Danio rerio: one gene and its partners. Each later gene encodes a partner of the first gene's protein in a complex. Links are inferred from orthologs where the notes say so. Each region holds a gene or a part of one and is shown on either strand. Other genes may lie near its edges.

What was found.
Region 2: pigp (region 1) and pigh share a complex: the UniProt entries of both Homo sapiens proteins name them as parts of the glycosylphosphatidylinositol-N-acetylglucosaminyltransferase (GPI-GnT) complex. The link is inferred for Danio rerio from reciprocal best matches to the Homo sapiens genes PIGP and PIGH.
Region 3: pigp (region 1) and dpm2 share a complex: the UniProt entries of both Homo sapiens proteins name them as parts of the glycosylphosphatidylinositol-N-acetylglucosaminyltransferase (GPI-GnT) complex. The link is inferred for Danio rerio from reciprocal best matches to the Homo sapiens genes PIGP and DPM2.

The regions. Positions count from the first base shown.
Region 1 is NC_133185.1:420,752-423,574, forward strand, and holds the end of pigp (phosphatidylinositol N-acetylglucosaminyltransferase subunit P), read left to right. Parts: intron 1-98; coding exon 99-171; intron 172-262; coding exon 263-381; intron 382-1,112; coding exon 1,113-1,216; 3' UTR 1,217-2,301; downstream 2,302-2,823. UniProt on the Homo sapiens protein: Part of the glycosylphosphatidylinositol-N-acetylglucosaminyltransferase (GPI-GnT) complex that catalyzes the transfer of N-acetylglucosamine from UDP-N-acetylglucosamine to phosphatidylinositol and participates in the first step of GPI biosynthesis.
Region 2 is NC_133195.1:31,131,958-31,135,719, forward strand, and holds the start of pigh (phosphatidylinositol N-acetylglucosaminyltransferase subunit H), read right to left. Parts: upstream 2,367-3,762; 5' UTR 2,249-2,366; coding exon 2,072-2,248; intron 589-2,071; coding exon 379-588; intron 302-378; coding exon 218-301; intron 122-217; coding exon 47-121; 3' UTR 40-46; intron 1-39. UniProt on the Homo sapiens protein: Part of the glycosylphosphatidylinositol-N-acetylglucosaminyltransferase (GPI-GnT) complex that catalyzes the transfer of N-acetylglucosamine from UDP-N-acetylglucosamine to phosphatidylinositol and participates in the first step of GPI biosynthesis.
Region 3 is NC_133180.1:32,331,464-32,335,225, forward strand, and holds dpm2 (dolichol phosphate-mannose biosynthesis regulatory protein), read right to left. Parts: upstream 2,566-3,762; 5' UTR 2,511-2,565; coding exon 2,508-2,510; intron 1,712-2,507; coding exon 1,622-1,711; intron 1,496-1,621; coding exon 1,393-1,495; intron 804-1,392; coding exon 748-803; 3' UTR 204-747; downstream 1-203. UniProt on the Homo sapiens protein: Regulates the biosynthesis of dolichol phosphate-mannose. Regulatory subunit of the dolichol-phosphate mannose (DPM) synthase complex; essential for the ER localization and stable expression of DPM1.

The DNA of each region.
Region 1 (2,823 bases):
CAAACACCTCTATCTTGAAGACATTGCAGCTGCTGGTGTGTTCTTCATCTGTGGTGTTGTGTGTGTTTGTTTGTGTGTGTGTTTGTGTTCTCCATCAGTGCTGTATGTGGTCTGGGCGTTTGTTCCTGACTCTTGGCTCCATGCAGCCGGACTGACCTACTGGCCGCAGAAGTGAGTGGTCTGTCTGTCGTCTGCTCTTCAGATGCTGATGTTTAATGTCTGATCAATCACTCTTTCTCTCTCTCCGTCTGTCTGTCGTCAGATACTGGGCTCTGGCGGGCCCCATATACCTGCTGGTGGCCCTGAGCACCTGTTTCGTGCTACTGTTCGGAGTGAATATGATGAACACGGCTCCGCTGGCCTCAGTGGACAACATCACAGGTGAGAATTCAGACTAACACCACATGAGCCATTAGTGTTTGAGCTGCTGAAGATCATGTCAGCGGAGACTCAGAGCATTATAGATGTGCAGTTCTAGATGAACAGAGACAGGAGCCACAGACTGCAGACACACTCACACTGATGCATACACAACACACACACTGACGCATAGCCGTCTGTAGCTCCGCCCTCTTCTAAAAAGAGCTCAACCTCATTTGCATTTAAAGCGACAGTCACCAAAACACCACAATGAGGATCACAGCCTGAAAGAGTCAGTTTCAGAGAGCTGGAGGACATCAACTGTGTACTGTTCTCAGCTCAAACACACACACACACACACACACACACACACACACACACACACACAAGAGAGAGACACAGCAGAGACGCATTTACAGCTTGTAGAAAGGGGCAGAATAAGTCTCCTTTAATGAGTTAACAGTCTCAACCCCTATGATGAATGGCAGATTAGCAGATTCTGACATTACTCCTCCACATCTGGACACTTGATCTTCACTAAAGTCTCTTGAACCGTCACAGACACTTTCCTAATGTGCTGTCAGCGAATCTGAAGTCTCTTCTGTCAGTCTAATTCACCAGAACTGAACTCTCATGACTGGATGAATGATTCTGTTCTCATTAGACAGTGTTAAATCACACACACACACACACACACACACACACACACACACACACACACACACGTAACGCTGGTTTGTGTGCTGCTCCAGATGCGTATGGCAGGAGTCAGCGGGTGGACGAGGACCAGCCGGGAGCGATCCCCAGACTCCGAGACGTGTCGGTCAGTGAAATGAGCCGGCTGTTTTACCTGTGAGCCGCCTCTGTCATCAGCGCTGGAGAGGCGTTTGCAGAGGCGTCTCAGGTGAGCAGATCCATCAGGTGTGTGTGACGGCCTGAACTCCGGCTTCCAGATGACCCCGCCGTGACCTCAGCGACCCCTGTGAAGCCACACCTCAAAACACATCTGCACTTCAGCATTTCTCTCAGATCTCTGAATCTCACTGTGTGTGTGAGTGTGTGTGTGTGTGAGTGTGAGTGTGTGTGTGTGTCAGACGCTGACCTCACAGTGACCTGCAGTGAAACGGTCACGTCTCTATCTGACCATCACGTCCATCAGTCTGCAGTGAGCGTAAACAGACTGCTGACGCTTCACCTGTGACCCCGTGACCCCTCACACACACACACACACACACACACACACACACACACACACACACACACACACACACACACACACACACACGCTGCATCTGCAGTTATCAGTGTGTCTCTGCATCATTCAGACGTCCTGTTCTTCCCTGAATAAATACCCATCATCCCATTGAGTGCCCACAGGTTATGAAATGTACACAAGTGATGTTATATTAATTATATTTCTGTAGTTATTATGTCGTATCATGTATAATAATCATATTATGTCTGCTTTAATGTGTCGGATAATTCTGTAAGTATAGTTATTAATAAACATCATCCAGTCTTAAGAAATTACAGGAATAATTTTAGCACAAATAATAGTTTAGTGCATTGAGATGGCACTGTTAAAGGCGCTGTATAAAAATAAAGTTAATAACTGCCATAAATAACTCAATACTGGCCCATACTCCAGTGCTTATAAACCTGTTTCTGTTGAACACAAAAGAAGATATTTTGAAAAATGTTGTAAACCTGTAACCATTGACTTCTATAGTATGAAAAACAAATGAGTCAGTGCTGTTTATTAGTTCAGCTTTCATCAATATATCCTCTTGTGTGTTCAACAGGTGAAACTCCAGTAAAGGCTGAGGAAATGTGTATTTTGTCTGTATATGACACTTTCTAGCGTCTGGTACACATTAAAGCTGCAGTACTCCTCTGTTATTGTGACGCTTGAATTAAATTATTATATGTTGTTCATATTTGAGATGTTCTCGTTCATCATTAGTGTGAACAGACCTGTGGTGTCTATCCTCATAATCAAACATGACAGGAGAAACTAATGCACATCATCTGTTTATTTGTGTTCACAGTTCAGCAGTAATACATCTATCAATCACACACACACACACACACACACACACACACACACACAGCGGGGGAAAAAAGTCTTGAACACACTGATGTTTTTTCCTGGGAATAATATTCCTGAAGGAGCTGCTGACATGGAGTTGAAGATTTTGGTAAAACCCCAAACATAAAACAACAAACAAACTATGAAACATGAGTTGAGTGAAATAAAACTGAACTGACAGATGGAGAAAGTGCTGAACTGCTGAAGTGTGTTTAATACTGTATATAAAAGGCTTTATGAATGACGGCAGCCTAAAGTCGTGTCTCATATGGAGAATGAAGCCTCCTGCAGTGCTCAGGTGTGAGTTTCTCTCAGTCTTCATCAGAGTGTGTAAATCTTGATGCTTCTGTGGGTCTCGTCTTTCAGATCTGAGC
Region 2 (3,762 bases), on another chromosome or scaffold:
TAAAACATGCAGAATATCTAGCAAAACATGAAGCATTACCTCTGCGTCATCTGCTCTGTGCTAGAATTTCTTGACAGCTCTTGTACACTTGAATCAAACAATTGAGCCGAGGCTTTGAACTCTGGAGGAAGAACCAAAGGTGTTCATTTACATACTGAGATGTCACAAATTCCTATAATCTTGCTTTTGCGAATGAATAACAACAGCTGTTTTGAACCTGGAAGAGAGGAACAACACTGGTCACCGTCTCAGGATCTGCTGGGTCCTTGATGAGAATGCACAGATAGTATATGATGTTGTGCTGAGGAGCAAAAACACAAACACTGATTATTTTTACATCTCGATATCTATCATGCGTGAAGGTCACTGTGTGTTTACCATATAAACAGCCTCATTTATGACGATGTCTTTCAGCTTGCTCATCTCAATGAAAGTCGTGCTTTCTCGTCCAGAGGCGTAAGACGAGGACAATTGGACACCCAGAGAGCCTATTATGAGAAGGGTCTCATGGTCCACCTTCACAAAGTGAATATGAATCACCATCCCAACTAAAGTGAGGATGATGGCACTTGACAGAACCGCCGTGTTCTGAATATTAAACAGAAGGAGAATTATATTAGATCAATAAGAGCAATTAGGTTAGATTTATATTGAACATTTGCTTGACATTCACGAAAATATTTCATATATTCTATTATAATATCAAACTTTCAATCGCAGCCATGTTGGAAATTCCTGAATAAGTTCTTCTTGCTTAGTACTAAGTGGAATTTTGAGATATATACTAGGGCTGTATGATATTGGGAAAAAGCTGATATTGCAGTATTTAGTTTTTTGTCAATACACATTGAGATTCTGTAAATAAATTCACCAGATGAAATGAATAGCTCTATTTGGAAAGAATTTACATAATTTTACATTGATTATGATGATTTTGTGGAGTGTATCTGCATCAAATTTAATAAATCAATCAAAAGTATTGATAAAAACAGTAGAGCAAAGCGATGAATGAAAACAACAACCTTCTAGCAGTATTCGGGTACTCAAATTGAGTAATCAAATGTAAAATAGTTTTCATTATTTCATTATGCATGAATGCTTTACATGCTTACACAATCACAGGCCTTAAAAACACAAACATGATTAATTTGGGTTCCTGTTCGACTATAATCCTGCCAAATGAAATGGTTACTGAGTGTATTGGATTTAGAGGGATACGACTTTATTGAACCAACATATTCTGTATTTTGGTTTTATCTTCTTTAAAATTGCATATTGTGATGGGTAAAGAAAGCATTTTTTATGGTTTGGCTCATGTGATAAAATCACTGAATACAGTTGAAGACCACATGATCAGCCTTACTGTAAAATCCTTTTTCTTAGAATAATTGCCGATGGATATTTTAACAGAGCAAGGAAAATATTTACAGTATTTCCAAATATACTTTTCATTTACACTTTTTAGAAGCTTTTTTTTTTCAGAGAAACTATATATTGTTTTCTTATTTTGATCTCCAAATACAGCCTCATGCACAATCAAATGTTTTAACCTGCACTCAGCAGCTGTAATAAATGCACTATAAATGACAACGTAAACTACTTCTGTTTCCTCACTATATGGACGTACATTTTAAATATGTATTTTTTTTCCCTTAAGAAATATTAAATATTGGCTACAGATCAAACCACTGTTGTCCAATGATTTGACCTAGTTAACCCTAAATAACCCAGTTAAGCCTTTAAATTGCATTTTTAGATTAATATTACTAGTATTTTGCAAAATAAATTGTAAAATATTATTTAATTTCATTATGGCAAAAAACAAAATAATTATGTTATCATTAAATTCTTTTTTTAAATAAAATCTTCTCTAAACGTTAAAGAAAACTTGGGAAAATAACTTAGTAAAAAAAAGTTCAATTTCAAAGGAGGGCTAATAAATTTGTTTTCAACTGTATAATAGACGTTTTCGCGCAATGTCAAATCAAAGTCCAATAAACAGTCATTTTTTGTCTAATAAACAGCAAAAGACGCCAAGGCCTTCATAGTCCGCATGATAAAATGTTCTTACCTGGGTGAAGAAGAACACAGCATAAGCAAATAACCACACACAGCAGGTGTACACCATCACCTTGCGCAAGGACAGTTTGGGTGAGGTAACAGTAAACTCTCTGCAGAAAGAAGAGTGCGTTTGGCAGTCTAAAGAAATCCAGTTGCCATTTATGTCTGTGAACTCTTCGTCGGCCATCTCGATCACTGCTGGTTATTTCGCGGTCGGAAAATTACATTAATAAAGACTTCAGAATAAATAGTTTTGCTTAGATTATTATTTTTCCACCAACAGTAAAACCATCTTCTTCTTATGATAATGTGACGTTGGCAAAATAACATACAGGTGCGTTTTCGCCATCTACTGGACTGGGGTTGAAAACTCCCATTCTGGACCACAAAACCAGTTGCACAAAAATATTTAGCTCTCGCTCCAGTGAAAACAAGTACACTGTAAAGTACATTGTAAAAGCCTAAATGATCTTTTTCATTAAGTTATTTACTGAGCTATGTTTCACAAAAATATATTTTTTTAAATAAATACAAGTAAATAATAAAATTTTTGATTAGTAATATTTGCACCTCCAGGTTGGAGGAAAGTTCTTACCCCAGGTAGAGGAGTTTAAGTTTCTTGGGGTTTTGTTCACGAGTGAGGGAAGGATGGAAAGTGATATTGACAGGTGGATTGATGCAACGTCATCAGTAATGCAGTCGATGTACCGGTCCGTTGTGGTAAAGAAGGAGCTGAGCCGAAAGGTAAAGCTCTCGATTTACCGGTCAATCTACGTTCCTACTCTCACCAGTGGTCATGAGATTTGGGTCATGACGGAAAGGAAAAGATCTCATATACAAGAGGCCAAAATTAGTTTCCTTTGAAGGGTGGCAGGGTGCACTCTTATGGATAGGGTGAGGAGCTCTGACACCCGGGAGGAGCTCAGAGTAGAGCCGCTGCTTGTCCACATCGAGAGAAGTCAGCTGAGAAGTCTGCCTCCTGGACGTCTACCTTGGGAGGTGTTCCAGGCATGTCCCACCAGGAGGAGGCCTCGGGGAAGACCCAGGACGGCTCTCGGCTGGCCTGGGAACAGCAGGATACCCCCGGAGTGCCATGTGAAATACGCTAACTGTTTTGATGTTATTAGATTATGCAGTAAGACTATATTAACTTGAGTAACAATTAAAATGTTAAGTATTTTATTTTATTTATATTTTAGTGTCTTTGTCACCAGCAATGTGAAGGTAATAATCGACCAAATAAATGTAGCCTACAATAAAAAAACTGCCTAGTACATTCCCATAAATTGTATTCTACCACCATTTTGTTTTTGAAATATTTTTCAGATGACCTCTCCCCATTGCATTATCGATTCTTTAGGAAATGTATGAGATCTGACTGCATTTCCCATCAGCCCCTGCGGTCGGTAACCTTTGACTCCCGCTCCAGTGAAAACAAGCCGATCAGCTGATCTGACCTGGCAACAACATTCACCCGAATCTACCGGGGAGGGGAATCATTTTACAAGCTGGTGGGCAAAAACAGTTATCTTCACATCAACCGGCTTATTGTTTTTGTGTTTATGACAGAGTCGTTGTCGTGTGCGATGTTTGAGGGAATTCAGCAGCTCGTTTGTTGAAAACTGCGGTGTGATTCTGGCTCGAAATCAGCTTGTTTTGTTCGGTCAAAGCTCTGTTGATCAGTGTGTGTTGTTGGGTGAA
Region 3 (3,762 bases), on another chromosome or scaffold:
TTCTGTGGGTAAAAATGACTTGTTAATGCAAGAGGCCAAAGAATAGCCAGACTGGTTCAATAGAAAGGTAAGCAGTAACACAGCACAAGAGTAACAACCACTATCATTACAGCTGAGATATTAAAATCACCTCAAACCCTAAAAACAGATGAGCTACAGTAGCAGAAGTGTTATGTCAAATAAATCATATAAAACACATGACATAGGTATATTTCTGTTCATTTAATGAGGAATTGTTTGAAACAGCAAAAAATCCCTTTCCCATTATTTTCAGACTCTTCTTCTGATATTTGAGGCTAAAAGGAAGCACTCTACCTCATAAATATGTCTATTTACAAAACAAGAGAACAGCTGAAACACACAGACTTAAAGCATAGTACAAGAACAATGAAACATTACTCCCATATTTCATTTAGATGTGCTCTAAACTACACACATGTCTTATGTGCCTATTTTATCATCTTATGTATTATTCACGCTAATTCCCTAAATCATTGCACTACTAGCATGGTCTTGAGTCAATGTTGTAGCTACTAGATGTACAAAGCTCAGGTAGACTATTATTGTGTACATGTTCAGTACGGCTTTGGTGAATTAGTTAACTCTATTTTGATGTTCATTTTAACAACTACAGCACCTGAACATGACAAATGACTGGATTCCAGAAGTTCATCCTCTTCACATGGATGAGTAAAACCAACGCTGATCATTCTTGCTGCAGTACGAATCACAACAACCTGGAGAGTCTTAATCAACTTTCTTAGGTTTTCGATTCTTCCATGTTACGATCCCTATGAATGTGCCTTAAAGAGAAGTAGAACATTTGATTATTAAATACAGAGGAAAACATGAAAAGCTTTTAATTTTAAGGTTAGCTGTGCAAACATGCTAAAAGTGAACAATGTTTAAAATCATTTAGTAAATCTATTTGCAGCGTTCAAGAAAATGCAAGAAAAACTATTTTGACAGAATTATGTTCACATAAATTTAATTAACACAATTATTATGTTAAAGTAAAAGTTTAATCATCCGGTTTAAATATTTCAAAACTATTGATTGTAATAATAATTTTCTGATAAATAATTTTTATTCTCAACATTTGCAATTTAAATTTTGCTTATCTGTTTCTATATTTTAGCTCCCCACGTTGATGTTGCTTTTACTATTTGTTCATGTTTGTGAAGCACTTTTGAGTTGTATGTTATGCTGGAAAAGTGCTATACAAATAAAATGTATTATTACTATAAATTATTATTTTTATTAAAGAAGGATTTTGTTTTTCGCTTTCCTCACTGAGGCATAAATGCTTAAAATGACCATATTTTAATCAAAATTTACAGCATGAACATGTCATGTTAATTTTTTTATGGTTTTATTACTTGATCTGCTTACCAACAAAGAGCAAGAGGATTAATGCTGCGATGCCAGGAAGTATGACTGAATATTCTCGTGGAAGAAAATAGCTGTGTATCACATGGTCACTGTCTACGAAAGGCTGGAATAAGAGCAGAAGAGTTTCCATCACTTTTTTTAGCAGCATATGTTTTAGTAGCACAGGAAATAAGTAACACATTGTGCATGATTTATCTACCGGTAAAAATGAATTTAACTGATCACTTACCAAGACTACCACCCAAATGGAGTAATATGTGAACAGCAAAAGACTAAAGCCAACGAGTCCAAAGCCAACAGCTTGATCTGCTCCGGTTGCCTTAAGATAAATAGTTTTTGGGCTTAGCTCATATATTAACACATCACATTTTATATAAATTGCAAAAATAAGTAATTCAATAAAATATTTATACAAATTATACAATAAAATAATATACAATTTCTTAAGTCTTATTTGGGGTTATTTCAATTGTATTTTACAATCAAAACAAAAATAATAATAATAATAATTTTACCTCAAGTTTAACATAAATTAAGAACATGTATGAAGATTTTAGATGCAAATATCTCTAAATGCCATCTGAGTTTTTCCTCTAAAATAAGCATTTTTATCAGATTCCAGTGTGTATGTTCAGTAATATCACTTTAGGACAAAGAATAAGTCCTTTTCCTGTTCTTTAAAGTGAAATATCTCAACATAAACAAAGGAGGTAGGTAAAAATTTTAAATTTTCCATGGAAATTTAGGATGGCACTTAACGTTAGAGGTTTTTGCATCTGAACTCTTCATATGTACATACATAGAGCTTATAAAGACTTTCTGTCTGGATCTCTGGATCACAGCAAAGTATATATTGGCCTAGCTTTCAGCAGCGGTCTTTAAACTATGAACGAACAAGTAATGAATAAATATAATTTTAAATAAAAAGTAAGTTATATAACATGTCTAAAAACTGAAACTCTCATGAACCAGACGCATCACATTAACTAGAAAATTGAACAGTAAGTTAACTCTCTAGGAACGACGAGGCGTCTTAAAATGTGTTCTGTAATATACAAAATATATAAATACACAGGACAAAACAACAATTTTATACCCATTTAATTTCATCTTACCATTACGAACGTGCCACTTCCGCATGAGCTGTAAAACGTACGTACTTCCGACAGGCAAAGGAAGTGCTGGGAATTGTAGTTTACAACTCACCTTGGTTTTTTCATTATTCATCACACGAGGGCGCACAAACACAGATCCAGGTTTAGATACCCTCCAAAAAGAACAGTATGAAACAATAGAAAAAAATAACATAAGAGATAAAGAGAAGGCATGTTCCCCCTGCGTTCGCCTGGGTTTCCTCCGGGTGCTCCGGTTTCCCCCACAGTCCAAAGACATGCGGTACAGGTGAATTGGGTAGGCTTAAGTGTCCATAGTGTGTGTGTGTGTGTTTGTGTGTGTGTGTGTGTGTGTGGATGTTTCCCAGAGATGGGTTGCGGCTGGTAGGGCATCCGCTGCGTAAAAACATGCTGGATAAGTTGGCGGTTCATTCCGCTGTGGCGACCCCGGATTAATAAAGGGACTAAGCCAACAAGAAAATGAATGAATGAATAAAGAGAAGAGAGAAATGGAAAGACATTAAATATTTATAAGTATTAAATTAATTGTTCACATTATTATTTATTAGCATAAAAAATTTGTTTTGCAAATCAGAGTTAAGGCTACTTACACGAAGACCTTAAAAGCAAAGCATATTTTCACAGTTTTTAAAGCTTTCTTATTAGATTCTGAAATCAACTTTATATTGGCTATAATTCTTTCTCCACATCTTTAATGAAGACCATAAAGGCAGCTGCAACCCAGTATTGGGAAACATCCACACACTCACATTCACACACATACAATACTTATTCTGAGAGAATGAGTTAAACTGATAAATATATTTGGTTTTGTTATTTTAGTATTTCGGCCCTCTGCTTGAGAAGTGTTTTTCTGCTCAGTGTGTGTAAGTGTCCAGTAGGTGGCGCTGTAAGGAAAAGTTTTGCATGTGGTTTTATGGTACATACATGATCATGATGCTGCAAAATACTACAGTTGGATTACATTAGACTATATCGCAGGGAGATGTGCACAAACACACACGTAGGCTATATACGTATAGTTTCCGATCTCCGCCGCCGCCGTTTGAAACCCGGTCCATTGTTTAACACTTCCATCTGAATTTCGGAGACAAATGTTGGCAGATACAGCCAGAATAAAAAAAAACAGTTGATTCACTTCAGTCTTCACATACAGTAAGGTCACATTGATCCTCATTCCACATACGAACCAGTAGAGTCAGACACAGGACATGTTATAGGAGGGAAACTATATTTG